Caenorhabditis elegans: one gene and its partner. The protein of the gene in region 2 purifies or fractionates together with the protein of the main gene of each other region. This does not show direct contact. Each region holds a gene or a part of one and is shown on either strand. Other genes may lie near its edges.

What was found. Proteins that work in one complex are often made in the same cells at the same time.
Region 1: the proteins of F55D12.6 (region 2) and baz-2 fractionate together in Caenorhabditis elegans (co-fractionation; one large-scale study listed by BioGRID). This does not show direct contact.

Annotation. Positions count from the first base shown.
Region 1 is NC_003281.10:7,650,017-7,658,005, forward strand, and holds baz-2 (Bromodomain adjacent to zinc finger domain protein 2), read right to left. Parts: upstream 6,017-7,989; 5' UTR 5,990-6,016; coding exon 5,246-5,989; intron 5,194-5,245; coding exon 4,819-5,193; intron 4,644-4,818; coding exon 4,124-4,643; intron 4,076-4,123; coding exon 3,937-4,075; intron 3,890-3,936; coding exon 2,954-3,889; intron 2,823-2,953; coding exon 2,147-2,822; intron 1,878-2,146; coding exon 1,276-1,877; intron 980-1,275; coding exon 799-979; 3' UTR 537-798; downstream 1-536. Other genes in the region: ZK783.7 (uncharacterized protein), read left to right, coding at 6,703-6,787, 6,992-7,155. UniProt on the Caenorhabditis elegans protein: Chromatin reader protein, involved in positively modulating the rate of age-related behavioral deterioration. Positively modulates the level of global trimethylated 'Lys-9' of histone H3 (H3K9me3), but not of H3K9me2 or H3K9me1.
Region 2 is NC_003279.8:7,900,295-7,903,761, reverse strand, and holds F55D12.6 (uncharacterized protein), read right to left. Parts: upstream 1,831-3,467; 5' UTR 1,763-1,830; coding exon 1,756-1,762; intron 1,709-1,755; coding exon 1,648-1,708; intron 1,425-1,647; coding exon 1,302-1,424; intron 1,255-1,301; coding exon 1,021-1,254; intron 689-1,020; coding exon 574-688; 3' UTR 568-573; downstream 1-567. Other genes in the region: Nuclear hormone receptor unc-55, read left to right, coding at 428-567, 1,845-1,972, 2,724-2,897, 2,941-3,248, 3,389-3,467.

The sequences.
Region 1 (7,989 bases), on a different chromosome or scaffold from region 2:
TGTCAAAAATTGAACCATGTACTTGCTCTGTGTAATTCTTTTATTGTAATGAATTGATTTTTGGAAGATTTATTTTCCCACATCTTTATTTTAAAGTTTCAGTTTGTACATACTCATAAGGATGTATAAAATATAATTGTGCTATTTATGTAGCTTGAACTTTTCTCGTAGGTCTTTGAACCCCCTTTCTCTAGAAGAGAAATGGGGTTGTGGTTAGTGTGGGGATGTTGTCAGGGCTGTAGCAATACGGTAGGGTACTGTAGTAGTCCATCATGCCAAAAGAAGAAGCAGATTTAAAAAGCGAGTGGATTAGTGGTTCAGTGTGAGGATGGTATCGGGGAACGGTAGGATTACTAGAGCCTTGTTAGATACGAACGAGGCATTTTTTGAGATCTACAAGAAAACCACGATCACAAAAACCAATGTTTTCAATATACTGACTAAAGCTTCAGTGAGGCGAATAATTAAACATATTCATCATCTTCAAACTGTGGTTATGAGTTTTTGTCTTCATAATTATGAGTCGCCAGGATTGTTTTGAAAAATTTTTCATTTTTCTTCAAGATTGCAATAAATAATCAGATCAAAGCATGAGAAATCCGTCACGGAAAGAAATGTGATGGGGTATTGATAAATAAATTAAAAAAGAGAAAATGTACAACTGTACATGTGGCACAAATATGCAAAATTATAAAAAACATTAAATAACTACCCGAACATCAATGGGATGATTTTTGTATTTATGAACAGAAAAAGTTAACCGGTTACGGTGAGATGATAATTGATTAAAACATGAAATTAACGATGAAGGCGTCTGAGTCTTTTTGTAAAGTTGTATTTCAGCTGCTTCCAACGTTTTTGGAAAAACTTGTGCAAACTGATTCCAGCACGTCCAATTTCTGAGTGATCAATGTTGAATTGACGACAGTTGGCGAACATGAGCTCTATGTCTTCAGCAAAATCTTCTGGAGTCTCGTATCTGGAAAATATCAAACAGTTTAACTATTTGTTTAAAAGGCAATCGAAGTCACTGTGTTATTTTCATTTTCAGCTTGAGATCAAATATCGCAAAGAAACAAAATTGATATGTCTCGCTGCAAGACTATTTTTCGATTCTTTCATAGGACTAATAGAGGAAACGCCGTATTCAAACAGAGAAATTTGTAAATCTACACTGTTCAATCACCTGACTCTGGAATTGATTTGGAAAAACACAAAATAGGCTTATAGGATAGGCCTGATGACATTCCCACCCTCCTATCAAAAATTACTTACATAAGTTTCTCATTCTTCTGTCGAATTGTCTTCAAGTCCATTGGTTTTGAAATAATCATTTTATATCCAGGAACCAATTTTGGATTGACAGGCTCCAAAAATGGCAAAGCATTTGCTTGGACGACGAGTTCATCCAACATGAGTTGACACAACTCCTTATTCATATTTTTTGGAAGACCACCAATACTTGGAACCTCCAATTTTCTCTTCAGATTTCCTTTGACTCCGTTTTGTTGATTATGAACGCCGATTGCAATTGCTCCATTCATTCCATTCATATGACCATTTTTAGTATTCTCTCCATTTTCTGCATGATTATCATCTTCCAATTCTCGTTCTTCCGATTCACTTCGAAGAATGAGTCGCTTCACAAAACGCATTTGCTTCATTTCTTGACAATGCCCACAGATAAATGTTTCAGGGTTTATAGCCTCTTTTGGGCCATCTTGTGAACATTCTTGATGAACATGGTATGCACAGCGTTGACACTGATGAAGATTTCCAGTCTCACGGCTACAGAACATGCACATTGGTCTTCCAGATTTTTCCTCGCGGCACCGCTGACAGAACCAATCACCTTCAGGTACTTTTGTCATTCGGGGCTGAAATTAACAAGTTGAGAAAATATTGATAGAATGATACAATAGTTTTTTTTCAAAAAAATTCCATTCTTTTTCAATTGTTTGGGGCATTTTCCTTGAAAGTACAAACTTATCGTTATTAAAATTGCCCCCAGTTTTTTTAAACGGTGATAAGAGAAAGGGTATGTTTTATTCGAAACCTTTATCTTATTTCCAGTACATTTCAACTAGAAAAATTTATTTTCTAACTAAATATTATAACTTTTACCAACATTTGAGACACAACTCACCCTAAAACATTCCATATGGCATCCACTCTCACATCCATCACAAACCAACATTTCATCTCCATCCATACTCTTACAAATCTGACAAAGTGCTTCACGAGATGATCTTTCCCACATAATCATTCCTTCGAGAGTTTGAAGAGCTACCATTAACTGACTCGTTGTTTGTGCTTCAGTTGAAACATAAGACTTCCAATCCTCAAATAGTTGGCATGTATCTTGATCCTCCAGTTTTTGAAATTTGGGTCTCCAAAACTTTGGCTGCACCATGTCCGCTGTTTCAATGATTTTTTGTCGGATTATAGTCTCATCGAGTTCTTGTCCATCAACCTCCTCATCTATAACCTTCCATGCCATATCGTCCTTCACAATTTGCGCCAATGCCATTGTAGGAGGCACCACAATAGGCTTCTGGGTCTCGAAAGGCGTGATAGAAGGCAATGGTTTAGACACATCTGACATTTTCAAATGACATTGAAGCTTGTCGATAGCCGTATTTAGTCGAGTCCATCCTTGTCTTCGAACCAGTTCCAGGTCGGATTTCTCACCAACTGGTTCGATTGTGATTGTACCGAATTTGAGTTCATTTAGAAACCATGGTTTAGTGAGTAGACGATGAAGAGCACGTTCACGAATTCCGCGACTGAGCATACAAGAACGAAGGGATTCTACACAGTCTCTGAAAAATTTTAATTTAAAATTTGTACAAAGGAATATGTTTATGCAAAGAAAAACACTGGGTACACTTCTAATTTTAGCTTTAAAATTTCTGATAATTACACAAACTAAACAGAATCCCGCTGCACTGACCTATTCTGCATTGTCCACCATCCTCTCTTCATATGATTTTCAATCCTTCTGTATCTTTTTCGAGTTTTCTTATCAGCTTTGGCTCTTAGCAGAACAACATCATCAACCAAATCCTCAACACAAGCAATAACATCTAAGTCAATCGTCTCACATGCTCCTGGAACACGCTGTTCAAGAGTTGGTGGATCCTTTGATGCATATTCGTTTGCATTGCAGGCTGGGTTGTTCACTGAAGTTGTTGCTAGTGACTCAATGATAACTTTATCAGTGTGAGCCAACATCCAGTAGTTTCGATGAAAACGGTCAGTTCCGAATGGGAAGGATCGGATCTTGAGACCAGTATCATGAATCTTCTGATTGATGTTTTGAGCTTCTTGATGAAGATCTCCGATCAGAGAATCCATTTGTTGAAGACTCATTGATTCTTCTTGTTCTGTTAAAACCTCGCACTGGCCTAATCCTGGAGTGAACTTTCGTTGTTGCTGCTGAGCTGCCGAGACAGGTGAAACAGAAACTACAGTTGGAGGTGCAACCGTGGCTTTCTTCGGAGTATCCGGTCTAGTTGGAGGTTCAGAATCACTCTCATGATTCTGTTCTTCTTTCACAACTACAACTTTCTCGTCATTCTTCTTTTTACTTCTTGCTGATCTCAAAGCTCTAGCTTTTCCCTCTCTCATCCATTTTTCTCCTTTTAATCTTGAAATTTCATCAAGGTTCTTATCAATCTCAGTGACAACATTTCGAGAACAAACTAGCTCATCGCAGAGAAATGCTAAAATCGAAGCTTTTTGTTCTGGAGAAATCGATAAAAAGTTGCAAGTAAGCAGAGGCTGTGATAATTCTTCTCCTCGCTTTCCTTTGTCGATAAGAAAAAGACGCATCACTTCACTGAAGTTTTCACGATCAAGTCCCATTTCTCCTCCACCTTGGCCAAATCTGAAAAATAAAATAAAAATCAAGATCTTATGATATTTCTAAATTACCTTTTCTCATTTCCCATTCCAGGAAATTCAAGTGCTAGTCTTAATAGTTGCCTAGTTAATTGAAGAGTTTGCTCGGCGTGATTAGCATCTCCATCTAATCCTGCGCATAACGACTCTAGTTTTGGGGCGATTTCAAGATCTGAAAATGCTCTTCTTTAAATAACATACTTTAGTTTTAGCAGCTTACCTATTCCTAAAACATGACCAAAGTTTTGTACAAATTCGTGAACCATAAGTGCATCAGCGAATCCTTGTGAACTCAGACATTGATTACCAATTCTAGAAAAATCTGGGAGATGCCGAACATCATTGATATTTACTAGTAGATCATCAGCTTCTCTCTCCCGAATCTTGCATTCATCAACTCCATTTGACATAATCTGACTATGAACTAACTCTTCGGTGAATTCATCGTTAAGCTCCGATGGATCCAATGGCTCGTCGGGTTCTTCAATTTTGGACATTTTGATATCATCCTCGTGAACACCATTGGATGTGGACGCCTGGATCTTTGGAACGAATTTCAGAACATTTAATCTTGTAAGTTCCTTGTTAATGTCATCTTCAGTAAACATTGCAAATTCGCGTTCTTGTTGAGTCTCATCAGCTTCTGTTTGCTTTGGAACAATGAATTCCCCGATAACCAATTTTGTGTTGAAGAGAAAATTGTCACGGGTGATGTAGTGAATCGAATTTTTGGTGAGGTACTGGAAATAGTTGAGATTTCATTTTTTTTTTTTTCAATTTTATAAGTTTACGTTTCAGTAAAATTTAACTTTTTTTAACTGGTTTTTTACAAAATAAGTATACATTTTTTAAACTACAATTCGGTGAAAGTTATGAAACCAATAATTTTGAATTATACACATCAAACGGACTTACCCTAACAACTTCCGAGTATGTGCTCAACTTTTTTCCGCACGGAGCAAAATACGAAACATCTCCTTTAACTCCAGCGGAAGCAATACTTCTGACACATGTTTGACGCCTCCATCCAAGTTGAAGAGGCAATCGAAGCATTGCTTCATTAGTCTTTTTCCCTTCTTCAGGACTGTCCGATTCGAGTGCTGCTCGGTGAGCTGCAAGCACTTTTGCTGCGAGTGCAGCTGCGTCAGCTTGCTTCTTCTCATGCTTTTTCTGATGATTCAGCTGATGTTGAGCCATAAGAAACTTCAAAATCTCCTCTTGTTGCTTATTCTTCACATCTTGCTCTTTCTGTTGTTGTTTGGCAAGCTCTTTCGCTTTTTTCGCTTGATCCTGAAAGTATTCAACATTTTTCTCAAAAATAATATAAAAAGCAATATCTTACCGCCTTTTTCTGAGTATCCTTCTGTTGTTGTTGCTGTTTTTGTTGCATTTGTGCTGCCACCAATTGCCACATCACATTGTTCATCATATTGCTCGCAGCGTTGTTCGCTGCATTGTTATTAGATGATGTAATTGAAGCTGATGATGTGGATGGTGTGGATGAGCTTGTAGATGCTGAACTTGTTGAGGCGACTCCAGCTGGCTTCTTCTTTGCCATATCCATCATTTTCTTGATAGCTTCTTCCATTTGAGATTTCTGTGGAGTCATCATCATTTGTTGGAGAGCTTGCATCTGGATTGCTTGTTGCCATGCTGCGAGCATTTCTGGAGACAATCCAGGAATTGCTGATGCGGAGGAAGTAGACGCTGAGGCTTTTGCTGCGGCGGCGGCAGCTGCTGCTGCAGCCTTTTGCTTCTCCTTTTCTTTTTCCTTTGCCTTATCAGCTGCCGCTTTTTCTTGTTGTTTCTTCTGCGCAGCCATGAGTGCTCCAAACTGGGCCAGCTGCTGAATTTGCTGCATTTTTGCTAAATTTTGCAACTGAGCTGCTTCATTTTGAGATGACGATGTCCCAGAAGTTGACGGGACAGCCGACGTTGATGCTGATGTTCCATTAGTTGATTTCGATGGAGATGATGCAGTGGCCTTCTGGATCTTTGCAAGTTGTTGCTGTAGAAGTTGTTGTTGCTGTTGTTGCTGTGCAGCTGCTAGCAGAAGTAGAAACTGATTAGATGAGTTATCACTCATTTTTGGAAAGAATTTACATGTACAATTCTGAAATTTAGCAATATTAAATGAAAGTTAAAAGGGTCAAGAAGTTGAATAAAAAGTGAGAATTTCGAAAAATGTGTGATGAAGACAAAAATAGTCAGACACCATAAAGGCCTTTGAATCTAGAGGTCTGTGAGCATGAGTGTTCTATGTATTATTAAGGAGTAATATCATTATGTCGCGAGAATATGCATTCGTAAATTGACAACAGTTTTCGCTCATAGCTTAGGTTACGTTCAAGTTTTTAGGTTCAGGTTTGCATGCTTAGTCTTTATTAAGTTTAGTAGAATAGAACTTTGAAAATTATGGAAATTCATATCGAAATTTTAAAGAAAGGTGAGCAAAAATTGTTGTCTATTTAGATGCATGTGACAATTTGAGTTCATGCGGTTCTAGAAAACGTCGCGACTTCAAAAGTTTGTCCCGTGAAACACTTTAACAAAATCGTACCATCAGAAATTGAACGAAGGCAAAGCAGAGAAAGATATGGTGAGGAAGAATATGAAGGAAAACGATTGAACGATGACCAGGACAACACGGAGGGAATGAAAAAGGACAGATGTGTCAATCAGCGAGTATACTGAACCACAGCGAGAGAGGGAAATGGCTACAGCAGCAGGCGGCAGGAGGTACCCTTCTCTCTCACTCACAGTTGGTAAAGAACGATATTTGGAAGACGCAAAAAGTGGATGAAAAGTAAAGAAGAGGACAAGTGGAGGAATAGGAGGACAAATGCGAATGGTGTATGCGGTTACTTGGTGATGAAATATTTTGGTACGTATTGAGAAATTTATGTAGGAGGAAGGGAGGGTTCAGATGCCATATGAGGGAAGCGGTGATTTTGGTAAAATTGTAGATCGAATAAAATTATTTTTAAAAAACACGAGATTAAAAAAATTAAGTTTCTAGACTTAGTTCAATAATTATTGAATTACTCCAATATAGGATATTGTTTACATCAACAAAAAATATTTACAGAGACAATAGACAATAAGAATCACGAAAGACATGGAACATTAAAAATTTATCATGGAAGCCAGCTGTTGCCTTGTACAAACAAAACAATTACTCTTTCATGGTCACCACTACCTCTCCCGTGTGTCTTCACTTTTCTATTTCTTCATGTAATCCCACAGATGTGATTGTGGGTGTACTACATTTCATTAATATGTTGGTTTTGGATATCAATTGTTCTAATAACTATAAAGATTGTTTGAAGCTTAATTTTAACCCAAATATAGAGAGTCAGCAAGGAACTTATTTAAAACCGCTCCTATATTTCTAAAATGCCAAAATAAGTTTTAAAAAATATTTGAACTTTTTTATTTCTCAAAAATGGTGGAAACTCAGTTATCCTGACATAATTTCAAAAGTCGACCAAAAATTGTTTTTGAACAAGTTTTATTTTAATTTTGTTTTACTTGTTCGTTTTTTTAAATTCTAGGGATTCTTGCAGCAATGCTCAAAATTACTCAAAAAGTACAAATTTTTGGAAAGTTTTCCACTTTACCAAAAAAACCAGTGGGGAAACGAGTGCAAAAATCAGAAGCAAATGGAGATTGGAACAAACGACTCTCCTTCTCCTCATTCTATCCGTTTAGGTCAATTCAAGATGACCCCTCCGTGTCATTACTTACTGACCAAATAATGGCGGCAGTTGAATGTATTAAGTACAAAAGAAATGATTCATAGTGCAGATAACGGGGTAATGATCCGAAGAATTTGTCACTGGATGGGAAATGGGAGAAATGTGGCGGAGAGGTAGGTTTCGAAAATAGTGTTAATCCTAAAAGAATAAATCTGGTACCTATCTTTGAAGTTGGGGTCTTCTAGAGTTGGAAAAGCCTCTACAAAAATTTAAAATATAAGTCGCTACTCATCAAATGTGTGATATTTATCATGTGTGGCTAATGAACTAACGAGTTGAACTGCAGTGCCTACTCATTTTGAAAATTGAAATATAACAATAAAAGGCA
Region 2 (3,467 bases):
GGTCCCAAGAAGAAAAGAGAGGTTCTCGTATCCCAGCAGGGGGTAACAGCATCTGTCATCCAAGGCACCACATCCCTGTTATTTTCATTTTCGAAACGAAACCGCAAAAAAAGAAAAAGCTGCGCCGACTGGCGAACAGATTTTGTAATTATATGTATGAATACTGTGATGACAAGAGACATTGACAAATGCGACACTTTTAGAAGTTGCTCCAAAATTTAACCTACAGTAGCCTGTATTCTTTTTCGGAAGAGTTCCATGTAGCCTGTCTCCTAATTAAAAAACATAACGAATATTTGATTTCTCGAAACGAGCTTTTGAAAATGTTGCATGAGCCTTTGAATGTGTACCGTCACTTGTGCGGGTTTAGAACATGCGTGAAAAATTCCAAAAAAATGTTTAATTTGCAAACTGTCTAAAATTTCAGATGCAGGATGGCTCATCAGGTGCTGCAAGTCTTGGAAACAGTTCCCCAGATGCAACAGATTGTGTAGTATGTGGAGATAAATCAAGTGGAAAACATTATGGACAGTTCAGTTGTGAAGGATGCAAAAGTTTCTTCAAAAGGTTTATTCATTTTTTAACTTTCTTGAGAGCAATCAGGAGCCAAACGAACAATCCGATGCTAACAAGGCTGAGGAAGACGAGGGTCAGGGTGAGAGCCAGGAAGACGACGAAGAAGCCTTCTCTGAAAATTATTTTTATTTTTAAACAAAATTGCAATAACCTAAAAGCTGCCAGTTTTCAAGTAGATTGAGCTTTATTGGAATTCAAAAATTAGAAATTGCGAACACTTAGCGCAGGCTGCGCCCTAGTTGACAAAAGTTGAATCAAAATTGTCCGACGCCTCAATAAAATTTTTGCCAACTTTTGAACCAGGATCCGTGTAGTCCTTATTAGAACTGCACTTTCACGCCTCAATTTTGATAGCTCATGTCTTGCTTATATTTAGTTTCATTACAAATTGTTGATCCTATAATAAATCAAGCAGCAAGTTATAACCAAATGCTGAGCACGTACCTTCTCTTCACTCCTTGCGCAGTTGGCTTTTTCGGTGCTGCCCCTGGTTTTGCTGTGACAGCAGCAGCTCCTGGCTTTGATATAGCAGCAGCGTCTGGGCTCGCTGCAGTAGCAGCTCCTGGGTTTGCAGCAGCTTTGGCAGCACCCCCTGGTTGTGGTGTGGAAACGTCTCCTGGTTTTGCTGAAGAAGCTGCTCCTGGTGTTGCTGTAGCATCTCTCTTGTTACGAATCAATCTGTTAATTGTGCAACTATTTAGATGATACATACGCCTATAACTTACACTCCTTTTTCTCTTTCATACTCCGGATTCTCGTCCATATGTCTCACCGATTGTCTGATGCCATTGTATGGCTTTCCGGGTTCAGTCTCAACTCCGGACAGGTCCGCTTGGCGAATTTTTTGACTTAAAATATTTGGAATCATTAGGAAGGATATTTGGATGTAGAAGACTTGTTCGAGCTTAGAACGGAAAAAGGCCATTATTCTGTTGATCTACGAGCGATTCCGCATTAAACTTAGTAAAAAAACTTTTTCCAATATAGATAAGAAAAACACTAGAAATTTCAATAAAGGTGTTCTTTGCGAAATCGATCGTAAATCGACCTCTCTTTCTCGCCTTGACTTACCCATAAACATTTATGCCCATATGAGCAGCACAGACGACGAGCAAGAGTAGGAGAAGTTTACCTGAAACCGATTGGCTGAAAGTTCTTGTGAGAGAAAAGAAAACTCACTAGACATTGCGTCCTAACAAAACTTGGAACGGCTATTCGTCGACAAAATAAGTATCGAAATGAATTAATTATCATATTTTAATCTACAGATCAATTCGACGTTCATTATCTTACACGTGTCGTGCTACGAAGAACTGTGCCATTGACGTGCAACACCGAAATCAATGCCAATATTGTCGATTGACAAAATGCATTCGAATGGGAATGAGAAAAGAAGGTGAGATGAGAACATTATTTGATTTTCTGAAAAAGTTTAATGACAAGATTTGACTTATGGGCTCTGGGAAAGTGAATATTACTATATTCAAGCAAAATTCATCAATTAATGAAGAAAGACTACGGTACCGGGTCTTGCCACGACAGAAAATGTTTTAAGTGAAAGCTGGAAAAAACGAGTGAGCGCCTTTAAGGAGCACAATAGTTTTCACATATCGCTACGGCTGGAAATAACTATACGCAACATTTGTGGCACCCTTTTTCTCATATTTTATGAAACATTTTCGGTCGTACCGATTTCTGGTAACGTAGTTTTCTTCTTCTTTAATGTATTACAAAAATAGCTTTTTTGTAGTAAAAATTTTGCCTTTGTCTACTTGAAGGCACATAGTTTTATAAAATTTGTTTCTCTTTTTCTCGTGTCGAGACCCATCCAAACAAAAATTTGAGGTATTTGTTTCACTTTTAAACTACCCAAGCCATACGCATATTCATGTCATCATACCATTTTACTGTATTTCCTCAATCCTGAATCCTGAATTTTGGCAGAAGATATCTAGGTTAATATAGAAAGCATAAATAAATTGAAGTTAAAATGAAACAGAAACATTTTCCTTTTTTTTTTTCAAATTTGTGATAATCTGAATAATGACTGAGAAACGAGCTGCCGAGAATGAGGAATTCAAGGCTATTATATGAAATATAGTGTTTGCCATTTACAACTACCACGTGGATTTTCATTCGATCTACAGGAAGAAGATCCAATGAGACTCAGACCGCAGTTTCAGCAGTTCAACGAGGTCGTCTACCTGTTACAATGCCAAGTTTGTTCCCTCCAAATATGTTTTTGCGATCTCCATTTCCATTTATGTCTGTACCATTCAATCCACTCATGACTGCTCAATTCACAAAACCATCGATTAAAGGTGAGCTGAAGAGATGATTTTGCTCTATAATTGTGATTAACAGAATCAATATTTGAATTTGCGGCTCAAACAATCTTTGCAACTGTCAACTGGGCTCGTACAAGTATGAGTAACCTTGTGAAAGGGGATCAATTGATTCTGCTCCGTCACAGCTGGACGCCCATTTTCATTTTTGCACTGGCTCAATCGAATTTCGCACTCAATCTTTCAACCCATTTAACTGCAGTTACGGCAACGGCGGCGTCAACAGAAAATGGATCTTCTTCGTTGGGTTCAAAGTCAGAAGATGAGGAAAAGAGTGAAGAAAAACCGGAAAGAGTATTTGATGAGCCACAGTTTCAGGGATTTCAGGTAATCATTTGAATTCCAGAAAAAAAATTTTGACATAAGGTTTTGAAGAGAATAAATTATTTATGTAATTTTGAAAAGTAGTCGGCTCTTTTTGACCGATTTTTCATATTTTCCGGAGCCGTGATCAAATGATTTTTCAGGCGAAAATTGATAAGATCCGTGACTTTCATTTGGATGTCGTTGAAAGCTCGTCTCTTCGAGCGGTTCTTCTTTTTAGTT